2 linked regions of the Tribolium castaneum genome follow. The protein of the gene in region 1 binds, or shares a complex with, the protein of each later gene. Links are inferred from orthologs where the notes say so. Each region holds a gene or a part of one and is shown on either strand. Other genes may lie near its edges. The genes, in order: Dph1 and Dph3.

Region 1 (9,322 bases):
TATCAAAAATAGCTTGACTCCGATTAAAATTCGCGTAGACTGACCAGAGTCCGCGAATTGTGTGAAAACAGGGTTAGTTTCTCTTACAAAATGACCGAACAGCACCGTTTCGGGACAGTGGTGAGCCCCATCACTTGTCACGCCTGGAACAAAGACAAGACTCGTAAGTAACCCCAAATTGGGGCTTCAAGTCGTTAAACTGTTTTCTCTTCTAGAAATTGCCATTTCACCCAATAACCATGAAGTGCACATCTACCAACGGAGTGGTTCTGATTGGAAGCCCCTCGATGTGTTGAACCAACACGATCTTCGTGTCATGGGCATTGATTGGGGGCCCAACACCAACCGTATCGTTACGTGTGCGGCTGATCGTAACGCATACGTGTGGACACTGGATAAAGACAAGAAATGGAAGCCAACTTTGGTGCTTTTGCGGATTAATCGGGCGGCGACTTGTGTCAAGTGGTCCCCCAATGAGAATAAATTTGCCGTAGGGTCGGGCGCGAGACTCATCTCTGTGTGTTATTTCGAGTCCGAAAACGACTGGTGAGTAAAGAGATTTTCTATATTTGCTTTTGTTATATCGAGAAAAATATTTTGTAGCAACTTTGATTATCAAATAATTTTTTTAAATAAAAGACCAAAAGAATTTCTACTGCGTTTTCTACAGTGACGCGTTTTCTAGTTTCTGATAAAGATGAATTGCATCTATAAATTTAACACATTAAGGTTGTGAGTATGTGAGGTTTAGAGCAGGTTTACGTAACGTTTTAATCGCAACTTAAATGACATCTTAATTGGCATTTGTTTAATTAGGATTTAAATTTTAATTTCGCTTTTTTTAAAACGGGTCTTAGTTTCTCAAAATTTTGAACTTCAAGAAAAAATTTACTTTAGATGGTTTTATTATTTACCTTTTAATAACTTCTTTTTTCATTGCAATAATTAAAAAAAAATCTTAAAACTAAAAGTAAATCAAAAAATAAATTTCTGTAAAGGCTGTTCCATTAAAAAAACCAAGTTAGTATTGTAATTAATTTTCAAACAGCCTGTACACATGAAAATAATTTCAGTATCTATGGCTTTTGGAAAAAATATTAAATTTTTTAACATTCAGGGCCGGTTTATACAGGGTGCTCAAAAACTGGCGCACCAACTCAGTGGTACGTTGTTGAGAAGCATGTGTAAATCACGGGAAAAATCTTGAAAAAATTCCTAAAGTGATATTTTAAAATATCTGGAGCTACAAACTTATTTTGTTATTTTCTTCAGTTTTCATTATTTTTTAATGTTTTTATGTTTCACACTAAGTAATCGTTCCCTAACACAACGATGAATAACTATTTTTAAATTTCCCATCAGACTTTAGCAGTTTTTTTTATTTAAAAAAATAAAAATTCATCAAAAAAATCACAGTTTGTAGATGTGACAACGCTGGGAATTATTTCCTAGGAAACCGTTTCAAAAATAATATATTTGTATTGTTGATCAAATTCTATTACGATCACAACTGTTAGACAACGTTGCCACATATCATTTATTTAAAATTCATTATTTATCAATAACTTTAATGCAAAGAATTTTTTTATTATTTTTACCTTTATATGTAAGCAATGCTTTACCACACTCCATTGAGTTGGTGCGCCAGTTTTTGAGCACCCGGTAGAAAGCTCAGTTAAAGTTAATTGCGTTGTTAAAAGTTAACAACGCGATAGACCAATCAAATTGGTTCATTTTGGTCACGTGATTATTTAATCACGCATTTAATTGAGGATTAAATTAATGACGTTTCTATAAAGCGACCCTTAAAGGTCAATAATGGACTTCATCAACTCGCTGAGGCTCTCTGTAGTGATAAATGTAAAAGACCTTTAACATTTTTTTTATATTAGGTATTCTGAATTGTAACTGAAAAGAGAAATAGGGAGAATTGCGTAGAAAAATGCCAAAGGTATATTAATTTATAACACTTGGTTAAGAGACACTTTCGTTAATAGGAATTACTTATTTTCTTGTTCAAAAATTTCGCTAATTACAATAATCTTCCTAACCTTTAGCGACAACTGTACATTTTCATAATAATTTTTCTCTTTGAATTGGTGGGTTTTCTTGGCTCAAAATTTGTCATTGGGATTCAGTTTAACACAGAATTCCTTTCTTATACAGAAATTCTCTATTTGTGCTGTATTTCTCTCCGAAAAATGCAAATACGCTTGTACAAAATTCTACTAAGAACTGAAATGAGATATGTTTGTTTTCTTCAATTTTTTCCGTTTTTTTTACATTAAAATGTGAATAATTTGAAAAGTATTCAAACCTGAAACCCTGAATACAATAACGTCAATAACAAACAAAAAAATAAGTTCTAAATTTTTTAAAAGCCCGAGATTTTGCAGAAAAAAACTGAAAAAACCCCTAGACAGGACTAACAGGAAAATCAGTGTTGCCAATTGATCTTTTTTCTTGTATTTTTAAATTTGAATTATTTAAAAAGAATTGAAATGTTGAATTCATATAAGGCGAATTGCAAAAAACAATTTCTGGATTTTTTAAATACCTAGATTTTGCAGAAAAAAAATAATTAAAAAACCCCTCGACCTCCTGACAACCCTGCTCTGTGTAACAAACTAATAGGAAGGCCAATAAGTCAGTGTTGCCAATAATTTTTTTACTATTTAGTCACCCGATATGTCTATATATTATTTAAACATTTCGTAATCTCTAGGTGGGTGTCCAAGCACATCAAAAAGCCAATCAGGTCCACAGTGACCACCCTGGACTGGCACCCAAACAACGTGCTTCTAGTCGCCGGATCCACCGATTTCAAAGTCCGCATTTTCTCGGCTTACATCAAAGACATCGAAAAGACCCCCGAACCCACCCCTTGGGGCTCCAAAATGCCCCTAGGCCACCTCTTGGCCGAATTCGCCAACTCCAATGCCGGAGGCGGATGGGTCCAAAGCGTGAGCTTCTCCCCCGATGGTAACAAAGTGTGCTGGGTGGCCCACGACTCGACCATCAACGTGGCCGATGCCACACGAGGCAACGCAGTTTTTAAATTACGAACCGAATTTTTACCCTTTTTGAGCTGCACTTGGATCACCAATAAATCAATCGTGGCCGCGGGCCACAGCTGTATCCCGGTTTTGTACACTTTGAACGACAATGGCCAGCTGGTCTTTACCGCAAAGTTGGATACGTCGCAAAAGAAGGAGTCAGGGGGGCTTACCGCTATGAGGATGTTCCACTCGTTGGATAAGCAGGCGAGGAGCGAGACTTCGGACACAAACTTGGATTCAATCCACCAGAATGCCATCACTTGTGTCTGCATCTATGGGGGCACCAAGGGCAACGCCACCAAGATGAGCACCTCAGGGCTGGACGGGCAACTGGTCATTTGGGACCTCAACTCGCTCGAGAAGGCCATACAAGGGCTCAAAATCGCCTGAATACGCATTTTTCATTTAATTAAATGTATCACACGTGTTTTTTAATAAAACAAGTTAGTAAAGTTTTGTGACATTTGAATCTGAATCTAGTGACTAGATTTGTTTGGTGCAATTTGTTCACGTCAGTGTGGTACCAGTCACATAACCTTACTTGTTATCACAATAATTGTAATAATTTAACCATTTTTCCTCCAAAACAACGCAATGTCATTCATGAAATGACTTCAGAAATGGTGCGTAAACACCCCTGGTTGCGTTACATAACAATTAATATCAACAGGCGTCGGGGGACTCGGCTATTGTGGTGCGGGCAAAGCCCGCACGTAAGGTTTTCGGGGCGAAGAAAATGACAAAAATCCCTCAGTCAATCCTCCAGGATACGAAACTCAACGCTGCGATTGAATCCCTCCCCAAAAACTACAACTTCGAAGTGCATAAAACAATCTGGCGGATTAGGGAGCTGCAAGCGCAAACTGTCGCCTTACAGATGCCCGAGGGGCTGTTGCTGTTCGCCACAACCCTCGCTGATATTATCAAAGAGTTCACGGGGGCTGATTCGGTGATTATGGGGGATGTCACGTATGGGGCTTGCTGCATTGACGATCTGACGGCTAAAGCTTTGGGGGTTGAGCTGTTGATACACTACGGGCACAGTTGTCTTATCCCAATCGATCAGACGAGTGGGATTAAAGTGTTGTACATTTTCGTTGATATAAAAATCGATCCGGGGCATTTCATCGAAACTGTGAAGCTAAATTTCCCCATTTCGACAAAAGTGGGACTTGTGAGCACAATTCAATTCGTCACGACTTTACAAAGCGTGGCAGAGAAGCTAAAAGAGGTGGGTTTTGACGTTTCGATACCGCAGTTCAAGCCTTTATCGCCCGGCGAGATTCTGGGGTGCACTGCCCCTGTGTTACGCTGCTGCGACGTTATAATTTACTTAGGGGATGGTAGGTTTCATCTCGAGGCTGCGATGATCGCAAATCCGAAATTGCAAGCTTACCGATACGATCCGTACGATAAAAAATTCACAAGGGAATATTACGAGCACGCTTTGATGGAGAAAAATCGCAAAGAGAGTGTGATGAAAGCCAAAGAGGCGCAATTGTATGGCGTTATTATGGGGACTTTGGGGCGGCAAGGGAGCCCCAAAGTTGTCGATTATTTGAAACGACGGTTAGAAGAGTTGGGGAAAAATGCAGTCGTGATTTTACTGTCTGAGATTTTTCCGAAAAAGTTAGATTTATTTAGTTGCGATGCTTTTGTTCAAATTGCATGTCCAAGGCTTTCGATTGATTGGGGGCTTGCTTTTTCGAAGCCTTTTCTAACACCGTATGAAATGGCGGTGGCTTTAGGGGATGCTGAGTGGCATAAAGAGGGAGCTAGCTATCCAATGGACTTTTACGCAAATGCCAGTCTGGGGCCCTGGACCCCCAACCACAAGCCTGATGCTGATAAGATTGATAAATGCTGTGGCAAATGTCCTTAGTAGGGTAGAAATAAATGTTTTATTTTAATTACGAATCTGATTTTTTCTCATCATCATTAAAAAAAATCCGAGTCCCCGTTCTCATCTTATTAAAGTAGGACATTCATTCCTAATAAGACGTAACATTTTGTTGTTTATTTAAAATATTTCAAAGCTCAGTTGGCTGCGACAAAATTGGCCGACCCACTGAGATTGTCACACATTTGTAAACAAAATTGTATGGAATTTGATAAACCTATTATGTTCTTGGAATAACAATACGGAATTTTTTTAATAATTTTATATTTTATAATTTTTAATTTTAATAATAATTTTTAATATTGTATTTACTTTATTTTGTACGCTGAAATCATTCCCGTATAAAAGAATAAAAAGTTATAATAACCCTTAACTAGACCGGAATAAACGGTTGATAAGCAACTGAGAAATGATAATCGAATCCACACAATTTAAATGGATGAGGTATCATGAGTAAAACACTGCTCCTTTTTTCCGTTTATTATTTTTTTTTATTAAAACGGAAGTTTAGTGTTTTCGTAGGTATTTTGACATTTAATGTGCGTTCAATTTGATTTCTGAACGAGGTAGCCTATGATTAGGAAATTATGCTGGCAACACTGGAAGACACCATCAGGATTCACGAGATTGTTAATTTACAAAACTACAGACCACTTGGATTAGAAATTTAATTATTAAATTAAATGCATTTTATTAAAACTTACTCATTTGCGTTAAAAGATTTTTTTTATCGTGGTTTTTACCCACCTAAAAGTCCATACTTTTATTTTTTGGAAGGTGAAATTTAGGATATTTTGTATAAAAGTTAAAAGCATATTTTTACTGTGTCTCCTCAACTAATAATCAGACAGAATTTAGCGTTTGCTATGAAATACTTTATTTTTTCTCTATAAATGTTATTTTTTCAGAAGTTTTCTATAATTCCTTCTAATTAAAATTAATTAATACTAAGCCGCGGCACAAAAAAATATAAAGTGTTTCACAGAACTTTATGAAACCCATGACAGGAGTTGGCAAACTAATCACTGTTTAAGTAATAGCCGCAAATTACAGTTTTTCAGAAACAATTTCCATGTGTTCTATCAAGAGACTGAATGGATATGATTCTATCTAACTTAATCACATAATCACTACCTAAAAACTTTGTAATTTTTGAAGGGGTGAATAAACTAGGGAAGACTCTAATTTTTCAAATTTTGTAACTGAGTTCGTATCGGTGTTGTTGATTGCATTTTCCTAACATCATTCTAAAACAAATGACGTTAATTGATGTTGTTTTGTACAAAAAAATATGTTAAAAAATGTGGCTAATTATGCGATTCTTTATATGTACGAATTAATTAAAACTTAATTTCATGAAAAAAAAAATGTGTTTTTCGAAATAAGCTTTGGCGCGTTAAAATTTGATTGGAAATTGTTCATAGCATTACTATGTTATTATACTAGAATATGTATTTATTATACATACTGAAGCTCATTATAATCGCTACATAAAGCTTCTTGTTATTGAGATTACATTTTATAATGTAATTTTTGGGCTTTTTGTAAATTTTTTGTTTTAGTATAACACTAGAAATTATTAAATTTCGATTAAGAATATGTTAGTACTTTCAATTCAATTTTAGTTATAAAGAATTGGGGAAAAATTCTGGAAAACTTCACCTGCATGGAGAAAAAAAATTAAGTATGTATTTATTTATTTAATAGCAAACACTAATCTCTGTATGATTCATAGTTTTTGAGAAAAAAAAAATACTTTTAGCAGACTCACCTTGTAATTTTGCAAAGCCAACGAACAAGGTCTTTGAGCAAATATTTATGGAATAAAAACCGATTTTATAAAGTTACCTTGACACAGACAAAAAAAAAAGAAAATGAATTTTAAAATAGGAAAATAATACAAAAAATGTTAAGTAAGCAACCCTTTTTTTTACTAAATAGTCACTCTGCTGGTCAACTACAAATTTCTGAGGTCGCTCTTTTACGGTAGGTATTGCGAAAAATTTAAACATGATTTTTAGTTCAGTTTGTGTAGTCAAATTATGGTAACCCTTGTTTTATTAAACTTTTGGAGAGACTGTGGGAAAAATTGCTTCATTTTTAGTAGAAAAATGATTTTTTCCCACTATTATTAAACAATGTTTGCTCAAAATAAAGAAATAAGATTCCTTACCAATTCTCTAAACTCTAATAGTTCCTATACAAAAAAAAACAATTTATTTTTATTAATGTTGTTGTATTCTTTGTTTATTGTTTAGTGCTACTTATCATAAAAAAATGGTTTTAATTTTCTAATAAACGTTTATTAATTTCTTTAATAACGTAATTTATGAAAACTGGAGTTAGTATTCAAGACATACGTTCATAAAATATTCGAAGCACTCTTGTCCACGATTTACGCTAGCAATTATCACATTAATAATAATTAATTCAGATAAATCCAAAGACAGTGCAAATCAAGTTACGCAACGCTTTGTCCCTCCGAATTTATCCGTTCGTTTTCGCCGTTTGTCGGCACTCACCCCCGTTTTCTCCCGTATTGATCGGTCCATCAGCAGCGAGGGTGAACGCGACCGTATCGAGTGGTGCAGTGATCGCGATGCCCTCGTGAGTGCACCCCTTACACATCATGTCGTCGATATCGGCCCAGGGGGTGGTGGAGCGCGCCTCGGCGGAGCTCTCCAAACGCATCAACGGCCTGGGCCTCCGCGGCAGCAAGCACCACTCGACCAAAGGGGGCAGCGTCATGGAGCGCGTCACCAACGTGTTTTGCGGCGGCGGCGGCGGCGGGAGCGCGGCGGCCGTGGCCGCCCCCGAGAAGCCCTCGCGGCTGTTGCCCGGCCGCGGGGGCCCCAAGCCGGGCCGCCGCCCCCGGCCGCCCCCGACCTACATGCCCTGGGAGCAGCTGGTGGTCGACGACAAGTTCCTCGCCAGGTTTTTCCTGTATTTCAGTCCGTGCGAGCGGTGCGTGCTGGCGCAGGTGTGCACTAGGTGGAGGGACGTGTTGTACAGGTCGCCGAGGTTTTGGACGGGGCTGGTGCCCGTGCTGCAGTGCCGGGAGATGAGGGCGGCGCAAGGGAACGAGCGCTCCAGGTTGTACTCGTCGCTGCTGAGGAGGGGGTTTCATAATTTGTGTCTGATGGGGGCTTCCGATGAAGATGCGCTCGATCTTATTAATTCGTTTCCGTTAGCTTCGAAACATATACATACGTTGAGTTTGAGGTGTTCGAGCATCACCGATCGGGGACTCGAGTCGCTGCTTGACCATCTGCAGGTTAGTCCAGGGTTACATACACCTTTTTTTCGATTAGTTTATTTCTTATACACAAACACCAAACACGCTCATTTTTTGGTCATTCACACCAAAGTCTAATCGATGTTCATTGTTCACTTACAAAAAGTAAACGAGTAACGCTAGTTCAAAGCTACTGATTTTTCTATTACAATTTTCAATTACAATTTGATTCATCACATCTGAATTTATTTATTAAAAAACAAACAATCGAATTTTTAAACTTTTAAATTAGTTCAGACCAGATATTTTTTTAATAAGTTCCAACGATAATTAGGGAGACATTCAACGTTGAAAATAATTTTAAATAGATAACTAAATTAAGAACTGTTTGTTAAGTCGCTGAAAAAGATGTATTTGTAATGACATTCTGAAACAAACGACGCTCATACAGGGTTAGGCAAAAGTAAGGAATCAAGCATTTTGTGTCTAAACTACGTACCTTACGAAAAAAACTAATTACAAAAAACCTCTAAACAACGGACACCGGTGAAGAATCTTTAATTGTCCGTTGTGGAGAGGTAACCACTGGTGAGAGGTGGACAATTTTAAATAAATTAACTAAAATCTTTTCAAGATAAAATTAAAATTATTAAAAAAAAAACAGATTTTTTACTTGAAATCTTCAATTTTTGTGTGGTTGCTTTTAGGAGCCTTGCTTTTTATAATAATTTTTTACAGACACATAATTTCAGCTATTTTTTAACAGGTTCAAATTATTCAGACAGCATGAATTTACTATGGTTCTAAGCCAAGTTTTCCCCTTATCACAATCGTCTTAATCAATCTTTTTAACAGGTTTTTCTAACAAAAAAATTTAGACACTCATCAATATTTAATTTTGGATTTTCGGTATAGAATTTTTTATCCATTTCTACAAAATATGTTCGTTCTTCCGGTCTGTCAGTTGTAAGATGTTTAATATCATAGTAATTGGGGATTTTTTTGTCCGTGTCCGCTATACAGAGGGTTCGTTGTAGAGAGAACTTTAAAAACTCAAAAAATTTGCTCATTTTTGAAGAAAAATTTTTTTAGAGTTATTTTTTTTTCATGCCAACCTACTACGGCGAT
Region 2 (8,795 bases), on another chromosome or scaffold:
GTATGGCTGTCAGGTCAGGTCAGGTTATGTTTGACCTTGGTATGACTGTCAGGTTTAAAGTTGAAATTTGCATTAAAAAGGCCATAACAGCCTCGAAGTGCCTTTTAGGGTAGTCATCGTCATGTTCCAATTGCATACCCCCTCTCTGCCACATCAGTAAAATTTGCCACAAAAGTTTTAAAAAACAATTTTAAACAACAAAAAAGGCCCTATTTTCATTAACAATGAGACATATCTCGCTGCATGCGGCACGACATAGGCCTCATAGACCAATCTCATTGTGAATGGTTTTCGCTGAGATCACTTTGAGAGGGTTTCACTGAGACTGACGTTGGCGGAAGGCTGAAACCTGCCTCGCGACAAGTCTTTGCACCAACATTCGAAAACGCTGTCAATGGCTTAAAATGATAAACTGTGTCAGTTTTTTTGTGTCTTTTGGGATTAGTCTTTGAGTCCTGTCGCGCCGCATGTAGCGAAGCAGATCTCATTGTTAATGGGTTCTTTAAGAAACAGTTTCAATATACACAAGACATACACTGAGACGGCCTCATGCCTCATATCATGGCTTATAATTGACAGCGTTTTATAGAATGATTTGGAATCATAATGCAGAGATTGTTGCGAGACAGGCAGCAGGTCTCAAGCCTACTGCAGAAGTCGCTCTCAGTGAGTCCATGTCTTAGAGATGCAAGACCAAATTAGACCATTTACAGTGAGATTGGTGTCCGAGACCTATGTCATGCAGGAAGCCGAACTTCATCGTGAATGGACCCTTTTCAATGGGGGTGTGCTTTTTGAATAAATTTGAAATGGCCTTTTTGAAAAAAGCAGTTGACTCTCTTTTATTCATCTATTCAAAACGTTTGTATTCGATGCACTTACACCAATTTCATTATCAGTGTCTTGATTATCAGGCAAGGGCAAAGTGGAATTGGGGCAACCCAGAAATAAAAACACTTTAATTTCCTTTATTAGTAGGCTATATTTTTTATAAAAGACGACTACTCTCAGATAGAGACGTACAAAAATGTAAACAAGAGTAAAAGTTGGTTTTTAGCAATATTTCACACTATTCTTCCACACGTCCACAGTAAAATCAGAAAACGCTTCTTGTTATAAAGCCCTAATTATGTTTTTCGACGATGACTGAGACTTTGTGACGTATTTGTTAAACGTAAGTTTTCAAATACCCCATGCCAGTGCAAAGGAGTTATATTAACAATTTTATGGGATTATTTTTAACCTTACACCCATTCTGCTTGAAACAAGAGTGGCTACCAGGAAATAACAACGAAAAAAGTGGACCCAAAAGGCTTCAGCTGCAAATTATAAACACTATCTGTGATTTTTTAAGAAATTTTTTTAATAATTAATAAAAAACATGACAATATTAAGCTTTTCGATTTCGTTTGGTTTGAATTTTATATGAAAATAGAAAGGTTAACCCTCTACACCAGAAAAGACAAAAACATAAAGAAAGTATCTGTAAATGTCGTGAACTTACTTTGAAGTAAACAGTGGGCCCCATCTATAACTCATAATTACTTGAACCGCAATTACCATCATCAAAATGTGCAAAACTGCGATAAGTGAGGTTATGCAGTTATGCACTTTGTTTTCCAGTTTTTCACACAAAATATATCACAAATTGCACAAATCGTACAACCAGCGATAGTCAGTACTGTCAGTACGTCACAGCAGCTTTCTCCAGCACAATCACTGACTGCAATTCTGTGTTGTGCCATTCCCGTCTCATCATATAATCTAAGTAGTTGTTATATGACAAGTAGTGTTTCTACCTTCAAAAATACTTGCGTAAATATGTTATTATCCCGTTAGTACACACTTTTAAAGCAGCCACTGGTTATATAGATTAAAATTATAACATTTCCTTTGTTATTGTGTTATTATTTACATCAGTCAGCTGTTTACTGTCATTTCCTAAAGCTACCAATTTTAAAAATGTTCCTGTTATTAAAACTCAAGGACCATAGAATGAGAGAGAGAACATTTTTTGTTCACATAGACGCTGAATACACGTATAAATGTCAGAAAATTCAAATTTTTTATGTCCAAATAGAAATGTCCCGGACTGTATGTGAGCGTAGGTCAGTGCTTCTCTATTGAAACTGATAATGAGTGAAAGTGGTGTAAAATACTACAAACGAATTATAAACGGTAGGTCGATCGGCTTAGCAACAACGCTAATTGAGCCCGAAAATATTTTCGGCGGGACTGTGACGATAAGTAAGGCGGACGAAGTCCCGGAATACAATTATTTTTCAATTAGCACACAAACCCAGTTAAGTCGTTTAGTCGCAATCCGATTACATGACCTTTTTTCTTTTGTACGAATTAAATCAGTTTCTTCCCTCGTTCAAGAGGCCGAATCCAAGGCGTTTTCATGTTGCAAAATTAGTTTGCAAATTTATAACGCTGCAACCAGTAATACAGCGGGCGCCGAATACAAATGATCGGCGTCAAATTAAAAGATAATTAGTTAGTGGAGTGAATTGTAGGGGTTATATGGTAGTTCTGACCATTACTTTGCGGTGCGGAGAATTGTTACTTTGCTCGAAGATGGTGATTGACAGATGGGGTTACGTTTCGCACTCCTGCCCCCTTCGAAGACTGTCGTAATTAATCTTGTTTAGGCAATCGATTTTAAACAAAACTGTTTCTGGGGCGTTTATCACTTCGCTCTGCATCGGACGCCGAAATGGACAGCTTGTTAGCACGAAGAATTTAGCTCCAAATCGAAAAAGAGGACAAAAACTACACAATCATTGCAATCGATATTCTTTCACAGCGTTTGCACTTATTTTGTATGTTTTAAACAGCGACAAAAGGGCCATTCCTAAAAATTTTGAGAAAAAGTTATCTAAGGATTCAATTAAAGTTTGAAGTTATGTTTTACCTTTACGTTCATCTCTTTTTCTCTCAAAACAAAAGGTATTTTCCCTTTATTAGGATGTGCTCTTACGTACTTTACCTTTACCTTTACCTTTTGCCGCATTATTTTGTTATTTTTGTCACTTTTATGCTCCGCTTTACTTTTATACGTTTATGTGTTCTCTCAATCTCTTATTTTTGCTTACGTGTTGTTTCACTTACCTTTTCTTCACTTTTTTTCATAGAAAAATTGTTACACCTGATCCGGGTACTGACCGTCTTTTGCAGACATTTTAACACAAACTTTTTAAATAAATCAACATTACAAACTATGCAGGGTGGTCCAGGAGTAATCAGATATTTTATGCATTTTATTTACGAGTACGATTATGATGATTGATTATGATTACACACATTCTATAAATTGTAGTAGGTTTAAAACTCTATTTTAATTCAGCATAATAATAAGCCTTTTAAATATTACGAGTACACTAACTTGCTCATATTGTTTTGCAGTTTATTAAGTACTTCTCTATAAAAAAGATTCGAATGAACGCGGTTTTTCCTTTATAAATCACTTTATGTTGTAACAAAAAGTTTCAGCGTTATCGGATTTCAATTAATTTTAAAACGCTTAATGACGATGCATTCTGAAACTAGTCGGTTATATTTTAACAGAACGTTTGACTTTTGGCCTGTTCTAAACATAAAATCAACGGCTGAAATTAAACATGATTAACGAGCAGCAGACTTGTCAAAATCAGATGCGCTACCATTCTACGCTCAATGCCCCAATAATAAAAACCAAAGGCGTAGTCATTGGGAAAATACTCAAAAATAAAATGTTTTGATTTAACCTTGATTCGTAAACAAATTAATTCTTATTTTGATTCAGTAGTGCGTTGATTTTATCCCCGAACGATTATAAGAACGCTCTGTTCACCTGAACACGATTCAAATTTCACGAACTGAACAAATAAAATCGTCTCTATGCATTATAAATATTTTTTTCAAAAATCACTATTTTCCTCCCTCGTGGATGGATATACTTTATGATATTAGCGTAGTCCCGGAAAAAAAGATGACTTTTTAATGCTTTCCGCTCGCGTAGGAAAGAAGCCTTTTGAAGGTAAGTAAAATAGGAATAGGTACGTTACGTACACCGTACACGTACTGGTAAATAAGGTATCTATACTTTTACATTAAACAAAAAAGGGTGCAACCGCTCGGATTGCTCTGATCCCATGCTCACACATAAAAGCGCGAGTGAACGATCATCGATGACGACTCAGATATTGAAAAATATCTCTGCATCTGCCTCACGCTCAGGAATCAGAACTACGACTCATCATCGTGGTTGCGTCAACTCTACGTTTGAGTGTAGAGTATGTGAAGATATACTACAGAAATGATCCTGTGAAGTATGATCTTGATGAAACAATCTTTAGGACTTGTATTTGTACCAACACGTACGACAAGTAAGCGTGAGGACTACTGTTACTGCCATCTTACGGACGCTCTGTAAATTGTCCGACAGTATAAATTAAATTATATTTTGAATTGTATGTTGTTTTGAATACCTTGTAATCAGTGGAATTAAGAAACACCATGTCTTGTCTTTAAAATAATTACAATTACTGTTATCAATTATTATCAAAAGTAGCTAATACAGACTCGGCTGAAGTGCAGGACTTGAGAAAATTTACCCATCAGTCCTCGGTAGTATAGTGGTCAGTATCCCCGCCTGTCACGCGGGAGACCGGGGTTCGATTCCCCGCCGGGGAGACTTTTTTTAATTAAATTTTAACTATTTTACTTAAGATAATAATAAAACAACCCAACAGTGATTCTCCACAATCTCGAATTTAATGCGTATTATTGTTGCCCCTCAAAAAATTAAACGTCACGTCACATCACTCCACACATAACCACAATCTGTCACATGGTTTGGAACCTTAGAAAATTTTAAAATTCAGCCACAAATAAAGTAATGACTGTTTTTCACGACGAAATAGAAATCGAGGATTTCGAATACGACGAAGAGGAAGAAGTTTACTATTACCCTTGCCTATGCGACGATAGGTTCCAAATATCCAAAGTGAGTGCCTTGGCCTAACCTCATTATATTTACTATCAATTTTAAGGAAGAATTGCTCGCGGGCGAAGAAGTAGCGAATTGTCTGAGCTGTTCCTTGGTGGTTAAAGTAATTTACGACAAGGTAAAAAATAGCTTGTGAGGCATTAACCCCAAAAACCCTTATTGCAGGAGACGTTTCAGGAGCAAAATGAAGTCAAAAAACTAACCGAAGATTTGAAAAAATTAGAAGTGACTAAATAAAATGAGCGGTCGAGGCGGGCGAGGGGGCCGCGGCGGTCGCGGGGGGATCAGTAAATCATTCAATAGGGAGCAATTGAGTGCTATGGGGGTTGTCGGTAACGAGGTTTTGCCGGGACCTGTCACGCAACCGCCCCCTCTTTACCCGATTTTAGACCGGAGCTCGATTCCATCGCCACAATTGTGCATACAACTAAAATAATCTCAAAACTGGACCAATTCAACTAAATATTGCACCAACAAACACAAATCAATAGGAAAAATACAACTAATTGACATACTTTGGCCATTCCTACTTAGTAAAATACACATCAATTCTACTAACACAATAAATTAGACATCACATTGTTAATAAAATTATAACTAAAAACCAAAGAGGATTCATTTGAGTACGTACTTGGAGATCAGAGTCACTGCAGAAAAATATTCACCTACTCCTCTTTGATCCTTGATTATTAACTAGGAAGGACAGCTTGTGTCCTGTGATACCCTGTGCTAGGATGGAAGACTTTATAGTACAGCAACATGAACGTCAGTCCCGCAAAAAACGGAATAACGTTCAAATACACAATAGGTGTATAATAAATCTGTTTCTGCAGAGTAGTATCAGCATTACAGTACCACACAACATTAGCTATCGTATTTTCTACAAACAGCACGACGTAAAAGAAAACATATTTCAGAAAAGTCGGGCCTTCGACTAACGTAACTGGCGTGAAAATATACACAGTACCAAAAATTGAGTAGAAAAACATGTCATAGACCTTGTTATGTTTACAAAAATTATTTTTTTGGTTCGTACAAGACAGCCACATTGTCATCACGAACCAGTGGAGAACAATCACCAGAATCGTAGGCACCAAGTACTTGGATGCTATCACACTGATACACAGGATCCTTGAAACTAAAAAAAAACAATTAAAACAATAATTACGGACGACTAAAACATCAGGTGACACGGCGTACAAATAGCTGTGCAACTACAAGACAACACAATAATTTCACCGAAAACTGTTTTAAAAAATACGAACTTTTATTAATAAATTATTATTTACCCTTTTTATCAAGCGCATAAACGTGTTTTTTTCGTGAGCTAAATTCAAAATAGAATAAATAAAACAATAAGAGCAGAAGAACAGTCCACTGGTCACTCCCAGAACACCACGGAGAGAAAAAGCCCCCCAGAAAGACCCCCACCGCCGATTGTCATTCACGGCAAAGCGAAAGACCATGCAGCACTTCTTCAGTTCTGCAAGAAACAAGCTGGTGAAAATTTCACCATCAAGTACACCCGGGAGAGGACAATCATCTCCACAAAAACGAAGAAAGAATACAATTCCATCAAGGAGAAGATGGAACAAGACGAACTGGAGTACCACACGTACACCACCAGGGAGGAGAAAACCCACGCGTTCGTGCTCCACGGCCTGGACAAAGGGCCTGAAATTCCTGAACTCGTGGCTGAGATGAAGGAGAAGGGTGTTGATCTCATCAACATGTATGAGATGAAAAACACCCAAAGGCCCCTGTTCCTCGTCATCACGGGGAAATACGAGACGCTGAACAGCATCTCCAAGAAATGCCCGGCACTAAGCCACATCCGTGTGAGCTTCCACCGGTATGTCAAGAAAACGCGCATCACGCAGTGCCACAGATGCCAAGAATGGGGCCATGCGACAAGCAACTGTCGCGTGAAACCAAAATGCCTGAAATGTGCCGAGGGACATTGGACAAGAGATTGCGAAATCGGCGAAGACGCCACACCAAAATGTGCGAACTGCGGAGGCCCCCACACCGCAAACAATCTCAATTGCCCCGTCTATCAAAAGCGGGTGCAATACATCAACGAGAGAGTCGCACATGAAGACGACAAAGCGGGCCGCAAACCCACCCGCTACATTCCAGCCCCGGCCCCCAAAACCAACGCCTGGACGAGGGCCCCCACGATGCAACCGCAGCCTGTGCCCCCCACGGCTGCATCACACTGGCCAGCGCTGAGCCAGCGCTACCCCCATCAACCACAGGAGCCCCCGAGAGCACCACAGCCCCCGAGAGCACCACAGCCCCAGGTGCCCCCCAAACCCCAGGGAACGATGACAACGGCCGAGACCCTCGCGCAGCTCTCACAGGCGTGCAAAAGGTTAGATCAGTTAGTTGACTTATCTAAAATGCTCAAGGCGGTAGTTGATCTCACCACCCTGCTGGAAGGGTGCACAGATCCTACCTCCAAATTTATGACAGTTTTCGAATTCACCCAAAACCTCCACACTTATGGATTTTAAAGCCATTTGTGTAATTTGGAATGCTAATAGTGTCAAACAAAAAATTGACGAATTAATTGCTTTTTTACATTCTAACAACGTAGACATTTTGGCCATCAGCGAAACAAAATTAACACCTAACGATAGATTTTATATTCAAAATTACAACATAATAAGGAAGGACCGAGTAGACGGTACTAATGCGGCGGGTGGCGTCGCGATTTTAGTCAAAAAAGGTATTTCGTTTTCAAAATTAACGTTACCGCGAACCACAATAGAAGCCGTCGGAATTAAATTAACTAATCAAATTCATTTTATTGCAATTTATAACCGCCCGTGTTATAACATTTCACAACGCGATTTAGAAAACCTAAATAATATCGGTAATAAAGTAATTATAGCTGGGGATTTCAATGCGACTCACAACACCTGGGGATACCATCGAAATAATACAAGCGGAAATACCATATATAATCTTAGCATTAGTAGCAATATCATCATAAACCACCCGCGGTCACCTACTCACTTTCCCTCCAATAATTCCACCCCGACAGTAATAGACTTAATCCTTACGAAGAATTTCTTGTTGGAAAACGACCCTCAGTCTCTTTCACAACTAAATTCCGACCATAATCCGGTAATTTTCGAAATTTCTAATTTCCCTAAAGATAATGATAACCGACAAATAACTTCCTTTAAAAATACCAACTGGCATAACTTTCGTAAAGATTTAGATAATGAAATCCAAATTAATCATAATATTTTAACCACCGAACAATTAGAACACGAAATAAATAAGTTTACAAAATCAATTCAAAAAATTAGGAAAAAACATTCAACCACGCGAATAGTCACTTCCTTAAGAAAAGACAAAATACCGGATAACATTGTTAATATAATTAAAACTCGTAATCGCGTCAAGAAACGATTGCAAGTCACCGGTGACATTACACTCAAACCCCAAATTTCGGCATTAAATAGTCAAATAAAGAATCTAATACGCGAACATAAAAATAACGTTTGGCAAACAAAATTAGCTTCACTTAACCCTAACGATAATTCACTTTGGAAAATGACAAAATTATTGAAACGTAAATCTTATGATATACCGACACTTATCGCGAACGGCACCCCAGCAGAAACGACGGAACAAAAGGCGGAGGCACTGGCGGCACAATACGAATCAGTACATAGAGCAGATCAAAATTTCAATAACGAACAAAATGATATTAAAAGGCAAGTTGAAGAATTCATAAATCAAAATCGCGAGCAGATAAATTCACAACACTATCTATCACGAATTGTAA

Evidence for each region.
Region 2: Dph1 (region 1) and Dph3 share a complex: the UniProt entries of both Caenorhabditis elegans proteins name them as parts of the 2-(3-amino-3-carboxypropyl)histidine synthase complex. The link is inferred for Tribolium castaneum from reciprocal best matches to the Caenorhabditis elegans genes dph-1 and dph-3.

The regions. Positions count from the first base shown.
Region 1 is NC_087394.1:25,651,922-25,661,243, reverse strand, and holds Dph1 (2-(3-amino-3-carboxypropyl)histidine synthase subunit 1), read left to right. Parts: upstream 1-3,534; 5' UTR 3,535-3,667; coding exon 3,668-3,682; intron 3,683-3,729; coding exon 3,730-4,941; 3' UTR 4,942-4,976; downstream 4,977-9,322. Other genes in the region: Arpc1 (actin-related protein 2/3 complex subunit 1A-B), read left to right, coding at 91-163, 216-546, 2,726-3,449; F-box/LRR-repeat protein 16, read left to right, coding at 7,589-8,233. UniProt on the Caenorhabditis elegans protein: Catalyzes the first step of diphthamide biosynthesis, a post-translational modification of histidine which occurs in elongation factor 2.
Region 2 is NC_087396.1:11,842,281-11,851,075, forward strand, and holds Dph3 (diphthamide biosynthesis protein 3), read left to right. Parts: upstream 1-4,637; 5' UTR 4,638-4,882; coding exon 4,883-4,990; intron 4,991-5,036; coding exon 5,037-5,111; intron 5,112-5,158; coding exon 5,159-5,230; 3' UTR 5,231-5,602; downstream 5,603-8,795. UniProt on the Caenorhabditis elegans protein: Required for the first step of diphthamide biosynthesis, a post-translational modification of histidine which occurs in elongation factor 2.